Lonchura striata: one gene and its partners. The protein of the gene in region 3 purifies or fractionates together with the protein of the main gene of each other region. This does not show direct contact. Links are inferred from orthologs where the notes say so. Each region holds a gene or a part of one and is shown on either strand. Other genes may lie near its edges. The genes, in order: NCOA6, PAXIP1 and KMT2C.

What was found.
Region 1: the proteins of KMT2C (region 3) and NCOA6 purify together in Homo sapiens (co-immunoprecipitation; 7 studies listed by BioGRID and IntAct, with this or other methods). This does not show direct contact. The link is inferred for Lonchura striata from reciprocal best matches to the Homo sapiens genes KMT2C and NCOA6.
Region 2: the proteins of KMT2C (region 3) and PAXIP1 purify together in Homo sapiens (affinity purification with mass spectrometry; 4 studies listed by BioGRID and IntAct, with this or other methods). This does not show direct contact. The link is inferred for Lonchura striata from reciprocal best matches to the Homo sapiens genes KMT2C and PAXIP1.

The regions. Positions count from the first base shown.
Region 1 is NC_134619.1:14,165,111-14,168,851, reverse strand, and holds the start of NCOA6 (nuclear receptor coactivator 6), read right to left. Parts: upstream 2,583-3,741; 5' UTR 2,511-2,582; intron 1-2,510. UniProt on the Homo sapiens protein: Nuclear receptor coactivator that directly binds nuclear receptors and stimulates the transcriptional activities in a hormone-dependent fashion. Coactivates expression in an agonist- and AF2-dependent manner.
Region 2 is NC_134603.1:149,369,916-149,373,656, forward strand, and holds the start of PAXIP1 (PAX-interacting protein 1), read left to right. Parts: upstream 1-901; 5' UTR 902-1,127; coding exon 1,128-1,217; intron 1,218-3,741.
Region 3 is NC_134603.1:150,420,728-150,424,468, forward strand, and holds the start of KMT2C (histone-lysine N-methyltransferase 2C), read left to right. Parts: upstream 1-1,014; 5' UTR 1,015-1,318; exon of another isoform or gene 1,319-1,429; 5' UTR 1,430-1,430; coding exon 1,431-1,606; intron 1,607-1,931; exon of another isoform or gene 1,932-2,096; intron 2,097-3,741. UniProt on the Homo sapiens protein: Histone methyltransferase that catalyzes methyl group transfer from S-adenosyl-L-methionine to the epsilon-amino group of 'Lys-4' of histone H3 (H3K4).

The DNA of each region.
Region 1 (3,741 bases), on a different chromosome or scaffold from region 3:
TACCAGCCTGCATAATCCAAATCTTAGATTAATTTTAAACTCCAGCAGCATTACTCTAATTAGCATGGGCACAAGACAATCTAAGTTATCTTCATCCTCTTGAGCTAAACCTCCAGCTCTCCATGCAGGAACACGCTGACTCCGTGGCTGAAATGCTCAGTTATCTGCAATTAATGGGTGGCTCCTCCTGAAGAACATCAGAGACCTGCTCCTGAGGGGACAACAGAGTCTGCAACAGTGTCAAGACAAAGCACAAAATATCCACGGCTCTGCTAAAGCAAAGGTGACTTGCTTGTCTGGCTGGTGGAAATGGAGAGACTCACCCAGAGATGGAAAACCTCATCTTCCCTGCTGCCTCAACTTGGTATCACCTGGGGTTATTTCTCCTTCCACTGCTGGTCCTCACCTATTCCCAGCCCTACACATTCTTTCTCATTCCTTCTGGTCCAGCTGGTGCATTAAGGAAAAAGCTGAGGCTTGAATACAGTTTTTGCAGCACTGAGGGTGAAGTCCTGCTGCTCAGTGCTCTACAACCAGCAGGCCTCCTGTTCCCTCACACTGTCCCTGCACCACAGCTTTGCATTTCTCAACAGAGACCACAGGACTTTGAAAGACACCCTCATCATGCCTTCTGCCCTTCAGAGGTTCGCTAGCAACCTATAAAATTTCGCCATTCTCAATGCAAACTGTTACAGTCACATTAACTCTTCAATCCCTTCAGCAGCAAATCCTTTGCCACTGCAAATCTAGTAAATTTAGTGAGTGTCTAATTGGGTGGTAACTCCAGCTTCCATCCGAAAGCAATTGCTCTTGTACTAAGAAAATAAAAATATACTGCCACTTTAAGGTTTAGTTATCACACTGAAACATTTAACATCTCCCATAAAAGCAGGAACCTTTGTTGTGCTCAGGCAGCACAAAGAGTGGCATTACAGCTGCTCAGCACAATTTACCTCCACAACCTGTATTGTCAAATATTTAAGCCACTGAAAAATGGAAACACCAACACTTCCAGATGCACAAGGACTTGGAATTCTTATGTCAGAGAAGCATCTACTTTTTTACTAGAAAAATGTTAAATTACTCCATCACCTGGAAGCCTGTTGTAAACAACCAAGTCCTACAAGTCCTCCAAGTCCTACTACAGAAGGACAGGCCTTCCAGAGAAAATGGCTGGAGAGCGCTGCTGAGAGATTTTCAGCCCAAATCCAATGCCTAACAGAAGACCCTTCCTTGGGTTTCAAATACTAAGAAATGTAATTTCTCAACTGAAGATGAGGTATGCGTGCAGCCAGCCCCTCACGTTCGGATCTTTCCTCTCCCAGGAGAGTCCGGACACAGTGTTACTATAAAACATTTCCTCTTGGAGCCAGGTAAGTTTCAGAGGAAGCCACAGGGCTCAGTGGATACTTAGAATCTCTGGCAAACACCTCGCCAGGCCCAGACCTGGCCCTTCTGAACACACGCTTCAAAACCTTTGTTTCTCGCTCCACAAGATACCTAGAAAAGCTGGGACCATCTGCTACAACTTGAAAAGAGCTGCCAAATCCAAATCTTGTGGTCATTACACTTGGTAACCTTTATGGAAGGTGCCAGATTTGTTCTTTGTGTTTGTTTCCACACACAGGAAATACTGAAAGGCGCCTTAGCTAAAAATCCAGCCAGAACAACACACAATAATTACAAGACCACCAAGAGGCACGTTCTTCTAAGAGAGGTTTTACTACAATAAAACCTCGTATAAAGGTTTCCCTACAGTTCCCAGTGAGGGGAATGATCAAACATGTGTCTATAAGGAGGCTGAGGGGTTATGGAGAGACAAAGCTCATGAAGCTCCAACCTGTTGCCAGGATGCAGAGCCACAGAAGAGCTCTGTCCTTCCATTCCCCAAAGCAGCGGGAAGGAAGCAGAGCTCTGAGCTTCCTGAGATGGTTTTAAAGTAGCTGGCATTTAGAGAAACGCAGAAATCACACGGCGAGGAGGAGTGGAGAGCCTTTTTCCGACTGGTTTAAGACTCACCGAGGACGCGAACAAAAGCGAAACGTCAACGCGCCCCGGCTGACACGGCACAAAGCCGTCACCGCCCGCATGAGGTCAGGGCAGAGGGACCGGCTCGCGCAGCGGCCGGCCCGCGGGCAGCGCCCGCGCCGGACAGCGCCGCCGGCCCGGCCGCGGTCCCTCCCGGGCCGGCGGGGCCGGGCCGAGCCGCGGCCCGGGAGCGCGGCCGGGCCGAGCGCGGCCGGGCAGGGGCGGCTCCGCGCCGGGGCCGCGGGCGGCTCGGCCGCGCGCTGACAGGCTCCGGCCGGGCGCCGCGGCTCCGCCGGCACCGCCGAGACGCCGCCGGCGGCCCGGGCCACCGGCTCGGCTCCGCTCCGCGCCCCGCCGGGCCCCGCCGCCCCTTCCCCCGCGCCGCGGGCTCGGCCTGCGCCCCGCCCGGGCCGGCCCCGGCCCCGGCCCCGGCCCCGCCGCGGCCGCGTGCCGACCCCCGCCCCGCCCCGCCCTCCCCTCACCTGGACCCGCCGCCGCCGCCGCCGGGGGCGCGCGCGGAGCCGCGGGGGCGCGCGGGGCGGGGGTCGCGCGCGGCCCGGGACTCCAGCGCCGCTCCGCCGCCTGCGCCGCGCACGTGACCCGCGCGCGCCTGCGCCCGAGCGCGCGGGGCGGGGGGGGCACCGCGACCCCCGGGGAGAGCGCGGGACACAGCGGGGACACCGGGACCGGGACACAGCGGGGACACCGGGACACAGCGGGGACACCGGCACCGGGACACAGCGGGGACACCGGGACCGGGACACAGCGGGGACACCGGGACACAGCGGGGACACCGGGACTGAGACCGGGACACAGCGGGGACACCGGGACACAGCGGGGACACCGGGACCGGGACACAGCGGGGACACCGGGACCGGGACCGGGACCGGGACCGGGACACAGCGGGGACACCGGGACCGGGACACAGCGGGGACACCGGGACACAGCGGGGACACCGGCACCGGGACACAGCGGGGACACCGGGACCGGGACACAGCGGGGACACCGGGACACAGCGGGGACACCGGGACTGAGACCGGGACACAGCGGGGACACCGGGACACAGCGGGGACACCGGGACCGGGACACAGCGGGGACACCGGGACCGGGACCGGGACCGGGACCGGGACACAGCGGGGACACCGGGACCGGGACACAGCGGGGACACCGGGACACAGCGGGGACACCGGGACTGAGACCGGGACACAGCGGGGACACCGGGACACAGCGGGGACACCGGGACCGGGACACAGCGGGGACACCGGGACCGGGACCGGGACCGGGACCGGGACACAGCGGGGACACGGGCACCGGGACACAGCGGGGACACCGGGACCGGGACACAGCGGGGACACCGGGACACAGCGGGGACACCGGGACCGGGACACAGCGGGGACACCGGGACCGGGACCGGGACACAGCGGGGACACCGGGACCGGGACACAGCGGGGACACCGGGACCGGGACACAGCGGGGACACCGGGACACAGCGGGGACACCGGGACCGGGACCGGGACCGGGACACAGCGGGGACACCGGGACACAGCGGGGACACCGGGACCGGGACCGGGACCGGGACCTGGACACAGCGGGGACACGGGCACCGGGACACAGCGGGGACACGGGCACCGGGACACAGCGGGGACACCGGGACACAGCGGGGACACGGGCACCGGGACCGGGACACAGCGGGGACACCGGGACCGGGACACA
Region 2 (3,741 bases), about 1.1 Mb from region 3:
ACCATGGTTTCAAGAATCACATAGGTAAGAAAAATAGTTTCCTCCTGGGGAAGTGGGACAGGCCTTGCAGGCAGGAGGGTAACAGTATTTTTATTTTTACAGGTGCCCTGTATTTTTATTTCACTAAGTCTTTCAATGCCATCTCTTAACATTGCTCTGAGTGTGGGAGGGAGTCATTGTCCACTTCAAAGTATTACGAGGATGTTCAAAACTCTTTTGGAAAGCTGAGTGCTTATTATATAGATAAAATGATATATTATCTAATATTTGTATTTTAAACATCCTTGTCAATGCAGCACTGTTTAAAATATATGACATGAAGCAGGCTCTGAAAGTGCTCGTTTCTTTCTGTTGACTCCAACCTATAGAAAGTAATAATAATTGTTTTCTGTTACCTAAAATAGGTAAGACACATCCCCCTCTAGGTGGGAACGCTTCACTATCAACGTAGATGGATGCTTTGCAGTTTCTGAGGGAAAATACTTTATTTCGGTGGGGCTCGATGACCTTAGAGGCCTTTTCGCACCGTAGCTCTGATTTCGGGAGCAGTCGGTAGGTTCACACATGAGCTGGCCGGTGGAACAGACCCACGCATTGGCGGGCGCTGGCTGCGAGGGGCCGCGCCGCCATCGCCCGCGTCCCCTCACGGCGGGGCCGAGGGCGGGGCCTGGGCGCCCCGGGGCGGGGCCAGGGGTGGTTGCCTTCCCTCCCCCGCCAATGGGCGGGGCCGGGTATCCCCGCTGCCCGCCTCTGTCGTTCGGGGCGAGTCCATTGCATCCCGCGCGGGGGGAGCTGCGGACCCGGATGCTGCCTGCCGGTCCGGTTCGGGGAAAGAGGGAGGAGCAGGGATAGCGCCTGTGGATCAGAGGCGGGCGCGGCCCTGCAGCAGCCGTGGTGGCTGATCGGGCGGGGGGAGCCGCTTTGCGGGGGCGGCTCTCCCCTCCCCCTTCCACCCCCCCTACGTCCCGGTGGGGGATGGTGTGTCCCGCAGCGCGCGCCTTGCTCGCGCGGTTCGGCGGCTCTGCGGGGGGAGGGGGACGGGAGAGACCCGGGCCCCGGCGGGTTTCGCACGGTGAGCGCGGGGAATAGCGGGCAGGGGGGAGCGCCCGCTGCTGCCGTCCGGGACCATGTTGGCGGACGACGAGGAGGAGCTGAAAGTCCCGGAGGAGATGTTCAAAGACGTCAAGTTCTTCGTGGTGGGAGACATCGACCCCAAGGTACCGGGTCATCCCTTCTTATCATTCCCGCCTTCCCTTTCGTCTCCCCCCCATCCCGACGTGGGGGGGGGCACAGTGGAACCGTCCGGCTACCGCGCGCGGGCTCGAGGCTCGCGCCGCCTCACGGGGAAAGGGCGGGAGCGGGGGGAGCGCGCGCCTGAGGGACCGGGCGGGATGGCTGAGGGGGGGAGGGGAGGCGGCCGGTCCAGATCCCGGCCCCGATCCCGGCCCCGATCCCGGCTGTGCCCGCGGGAAGCGCCGCTGCCGCCGCCATGGGAGCGGCGGCCCCGCCGCGCAGGCCCCGCCGGAGCCGCCTGAGCGGAGGAGGAGCGGGCGGAGGGACTTCCTGTGCTGAGCCGGGCCGGGCCGGGCGGGCAGCGGGGGCAGCGGCCGGCGCTCCTCCGATTCGGGCGCTCCGCAGGCCCGGCCCCTCCCTGTGCCCGGTTCCGTACGGGTACGCAGGGACGGGCCGTGGGGAAGGCTGGTCACGGCGGGCCGGGCTGGCTCTGCCCTCCCACACAGACCTTCCCGCCTTGGCGCGGCCCCGAGCCCGGACCCGCTACCGCCCCGGGGCCGCCGCTGCGGGGCTGCTGTGGGTTAGGCCGGGGGCCGCCCGCCCCTCTCGCCCTGGGCAATGCAGGTGGCCTGGCCGTGAGTAACACCCGTGGTGGGCGAAGGTGGTTGAAACAAAGTTTTGTGGCTTGTCCAATTAGATGCTTGAAATGCAACCTGCGGAGGTTTAGGACAGCGGCTTCCTGCAAGCAGGTTACTGCCTGCTTCACGCTGAAGTTAAAGTTCTTTGCCTCTCTGGTAGTTGCTGTAGTAAAGTCTTAGTTCAGTGTTGGTTTCCTTTATCATCCTGTCCTGACGCTCACTAGCTGTGTCCTGGAGGCACAGTCACTGGCCTGTTCAGATGGATTTCATTCCTATTGTGCTAAAATAAATACAGTCTAGGAAGAATGCAGTTGACAGGATGAAAACTTCTTTAGACAGGTTTCTAGATATAAAACTTAGTTCTTTAGGCATTAGGTCTTTAGAGATAAATTTTTTGATAGTGGGTTAGCACTCAACAGATTCCTGTACTTACCAAAAAACCCTACAGCAGCAGTTAGTATTATGTGTATGAGGGTGAGTGCAAAAATCCTGTAGCACTGTTGTACATAATTTGTCATTGGAGTAGTGTCTTGAAAAGCCTGTTTTAGTCATGTGTTGACATGGGAGGACAATTAGCAGATTTTCCATAGAGCAAATAGACAAGCATTCTCTTAAATTGGTTTTCTTTCTCATGCTAAATTTTATTGTTCTTTGCAGTCAGAGTCATTGTCATAGAGCTTTGATATGCTCCAAATTTGGTGCATTGAATGTTCCTCTGCCTGGCTTGGAGGCTGAGCCCGGTCAGAGTGAGGAGCTGGGCTGGGCTGAGCTCGGGGCCAGCTCCTGGGAGAACCCTCTGTACCGGCTTCAGCCCAGCTGGCAGCTAAGCACAGCACAGCTGCTCTCTCACCCCCACCCCTGAGCAGTGTAATGGGGAGGACATTCAAAAATTAAACTTACAGGTTGAGATATAAAAGCAGCTTAATAATTGAAAACCAGGTAATGGTAAATAATTGAATACAATGGTAATGGTAAATAATAATGCTAAGAAAAAGGGAAATAAAGGAAACCTTAAGCAAGTGAGGCACAATACAGTTGCTCACCGTGCACTGACTGATGCCAGACATCATTCCTGACCCCAGATCAGCCCTTCTTATGGGTAACTCCCCCAGTTTATATAGTGGGCATGACTTGCTTTGGTGTGGTTGGCCAGTTTGGGTCACCTGTCCAGGCTGTACTCCCTCCCAGCCTATTTTATAACTCCTTACTGGCAGAGGAAATCACAAAAAAAGTAGTCCTTAGGATAAACACAACTTAGGAAAAACCAAAACATCAGTGTGTTACCAACATTATTTCCATTCTGAATCCAAAACACAGAACCATGGCAGCTACAGAGAATAAATTAACTTTATCCTTGCTGAGACCAGGACACCCTCCTGTGGGTGTCCTCTGTGGTACCCTGGGACACCTGAGTACGAGGAGCGTTTATCAGGTGTGTTTTGAGCCAAGACAGAATACAGAAATTGTAAACCAAACTCAATCAGTTCTTAGAGTGAAATTTGTCCCATGACAAATAAAAAAGTTACAAATATCTTTGGCACTTTTTACTGCTTCACATACAGGTGGATGCCAGCTTGATTTTGCAGAGAATTTCCTCCTTCATCTTCTGGGAAGGAGCACACTTTGATCAACTTAAATTTCTAAATAGTTTCACAGAAAACCAGTTACTGTAATAAATATTAAAACACCTAGCACAAGTGAGCATGCTAATCAAAACAGATTCAAGAGTAAGAAGAAAAAAAGTAATTTTTTTTCAGGTGAATAACTGCATACCTACATTAAAGCATGTGCAGCATAAATTGGAAGGGAAGCAAAAGTCTGGAGTTGTGCCGAGGTGTTCTCTGGCACATGGAGGAGTTAGGTTGGCTCT
Region 3 (3,741 bases):
GGCGGGCGGGCAGGCAGCCAGCCAGCCGGGCCCCAGCCCGGGGAGCCCCCCCGCCCCCAGCGCCCGCAGCTGTTCCAGCCGGAGCTGCTGGAAAGCGGCCACGCTCCCCAGACTTTGTCTCCCTCGCACACAGCGCTGAACTCTGCTCCCTCCCTCCTTCCCATCCCCCGGGGCGCCCGCGGCTCCCCCCGCCTGCACCGCCCCGAGCCGCAGACGCGCGGCGGGGGAAGGGGGAGCGCTCCCCGCCGGGCTCCAGCCGCCTGCCCGGGGGCTGCGCGGGGCGAGCGCTGCCCCCGGAGCCGCGTCCCGCGGAGGGCAGCCCGTGTGCGGCCGCTCGCATGCAGAAGGGGCTTTTCCTTTTCCACGGCGAAATTAATAAAAAGAAATAACAGGGGCGGGGGAGCGGCTGGGGCAGCGGTGCGGGGTGGGGTGCGCGGAGCTCCCCGCGGCGCCGCGTCCCGTCCGCGCCCCGCTCCGCGGTTTCCCCGCAGCCCGGCGCGGCCCCAGCCCAGCCCGTGAGGTCGGCGGGCGGCGGATGGGTGTCTGCGCCGGGGGACGGGCGGCGGGCGGGCGGGGCAGGCGCAGTGTGGGGCCGCGGCAGGGGAGGAGGAGCAGGGCGGTCGGTCGCTGTGTCTGTGTGTCGCACTGGCGGGGGGGAAGGGAGCCGGGGAGGCGGGGGTTACACACCAGGGCAGCGCCGGGATCCCTTCTCCACCCCGCGGGGAGGGGGCAGGGCGCCGCCTCCTCCTCCTTCCTCCTCCCCCTTTTTCACCCTTCCTCCTCCTTCTTTCCCCAAAGTTAAACTTCCTGCTCCCGGCCCGGCTGGGAAGGGGACGCGGAGCCCGGCCGGACTCAGCCCCTCGACACACACAACAGCTGGAGCTGTCAAAACTTCCTCCGCTCGGCCTCGGCCCCCGCCGCCTCCGCCGCCGCCGCCCGCTCCTCCTCCGCCCCCGGGGGCTCTGCGCGGGGGGAGGGCGCAGGGCCAGGGTACAATGAAGCGGCGGCCGCCGCAGCCGGGCAGCGCAGCAGCCGGAGCCGCCGCCAGCGCCCGGGGCCTCTGAGCGGGGGCGCCCAGCGGCGGGACCAGCCGCGTCTCTGCCGCTCGCTCTCTTCACCTCCCCCAGCCCCGACAGACCCCGCCGAGCCCGGGGAGGGTGTTATTGTGTGTGAGACCCTTCCTTCCGTCCTCTGCGCTTTCTCTTCGCCCCCCCCTTTCCCTCCTCCTCCTGCTCTCCCCATGCTGCTCCCCCTGCTACCTGTGCTGGTCGGCGGCGGCTGAGGCCAGCGATGCGAGGCGGAGGTGGAGGAGGCGGAGGTGAGGAGGAGAGGAGCCGCGGGAGCAGGAGGAGCATCGGGATCCCCATCACCATCCTCATCTTCATCCTCATCATCATCATCCATGTGTCTCTCTCGTCCTGCTGACTAGGATGTCAACGGAGGACAAGAGTCTGGTGGTGGCGGTGGTGGAGCCGCCTCAGCAGCAGCAGCAGCCCCCCGAGCCTGGAGCTCCCCCCCCAGCAGCAGCAGCAGCAGCCACAGACAAAAGACCTAGGGGCCGGCCTCGCAAAGATGGCGCTTCCCCTTTCCAGAGAGCCAGAAAGAAGTAAGTTCAGCGTTTGTGTGTGCGAGGCAGAGAGGGGCCGGGGCAGGCGGCCAGGCGCAGGCAGAGCTGTCAGTGGAGACTCGCTACTCGCCCCCTCCCTCTGCCTAATGCCATTTTGAGAAGGGCCCTTCTTTCTTCTCCTCCTCTCCCCTTTGCACTTTCCCCTCCTCCTCCTCCTCGTTTTTCACCTTTGTCTTCCTCCGCCCGCTCACCCTTTTCCACTTTTCTTTCACCATCCCTATTCCTTTCTTCTCCTCCTTCTTCGGAGTTTCTCTTTAGCTCTTCCCCCTCCACCCTCTTCCTCCTTTTCCCCTTGCCTTTGCACCTTCCCCCTTCTTTTTGGGTCCGTTCCCTTCCAGGACGCTCGGCTGCCTTCAGCGTCGCCTGGGTAGTCCCTGTGCGCTGACGGTAGTTCCTCGTCGCTTTCCCTTGTTATGCCCCCCCCCCTCCCCTTCTCCTCCTCTTTTTTGGGAAGGAAAACACGGTTCTGGGCGGGTGGCGGGCAGGACACCCCCGCGCCCCCGCGGAGTTGAGGCAGGAGTTTCTCGGCGGCGCGGGGAGCTGTCAGCGGCCGCCGCACGGAGGGACGCGCCGGCGGGACGGTGCCGGAGCACCGCAAACCCGCGGAGCATGGCGGGGGAGCCGGCTCCCGGCCGCCGGCAGCTCTCCCTCCGCCGCGGCCTCTCCCCGCCGGGGGCGCGGGCGCTCGCCCGCCCCGGCGCCTCCCCCGCCCCGCCGGGCGCTCCCCGGGGGCCGGCCCGCTCCCGCAGCCCCGGGCGGGGATCCCGCAGCCTCGGGCGGGGATCCCGCAGCCCCGGGCGGGGATCGCGCCGCGCCGCGCTGCCCGCGGACGGAGCGGGGGTGGCCGCGGTGCCCGGGAGAGGCCCCGGCGGCCGCTGCCCGGGGAGCGCCGCTGCCGCGCTGGCTCCGCTCCCCGCGGGTTATTTTAGAGTGGGATGGAGCTTGCCATGGCATAGCTGATGGCAGCGGTAATAGGGCAAAGCTCCACGTTTGGCCGAGGAGCGGCAGGAGGTGACCAGAGCGGCTCCTGCGCTGTGCGGTCCGTCCGAGCCTCGGGGTTCAGAGGCTGTTCCTTCCCTTTGTTTTGGGGGACGCGCTCGCTTTGACAGTGCCGTGTTTGCCCTGGCTCTTCCTTAAACATCCTGGCCCATCCCAAACATCATTGTTCATTTCCGTGCCAGAATCATTTCGGTTGGAAAAGACCTTTAAGGTCAAGCCCGACCATAAGGTCACAGTGGAAGTCCACAATATGACAAGGGATTCTGCTGGGCTGGACCTAAACACATGCAAGGACCGTGCATCTTTTATATGAGTTCGTTTTTACAAATATATAAGTATCCCAGGACAGAACTATCATTAGTTTGGGATACATGATTTTTTGTTCTTGTTATTTCCATTGATGAAAGTTTACCTGCAAAGATTTTCATGTCACCTCTGGTTTTGGGGAAGGTGTGTTGTTTCCAGCTCCCTCTTTTCATTATCTTATGTATTTTCCTGATAGAATTTTTAATACAGCTGTCGTTGAAAGTAGTTGGCATATGTACACGTGGTGAAGTTCTTGCGTTCATCTCCTTTATGCTTAGTTTTACATACTTTGGTTTTATTTTTACTTACAGAATCCAAACCTTACATAGGAAACCTTTGAATGTTTTATTTTGAAGGAAATTTTTCTGAAGAAAAATCCAAATGCAACTGAAATGTACCAGTCTACACAAAAAAACCCCTAAATAGTGTTATGTGTGAAAATTGGCATATCTTGTTAGGCCAGTTTGAGGTTGTATATGCACTCTTGAGGAAAAAATGTATGTGTTAAAGAGGTAATTCCTTGCCTTCAGATAGGTTTTTGGTGTCATGGGAATGTTGTTGCCTAGGTTTTGGGAGAAATAAAATATTCCTGTAAAATATGAACTTATTCTGACATGATTATAAGGATTTATGTAAAAGTGGGAAATTAAATTAGCTGAGACAAAAATTAAAATGAATCAATACTCTTTTTGTTCACACTGATTGTTCCTGACTGACATGGTGCTCTCTGTCCTGCTGCATCTTTCTGCAAATCCTGTAGTTTTGGTAAAGGCATTATGCTTTTGAAGTCTTAAATGCTTTTGAAACCA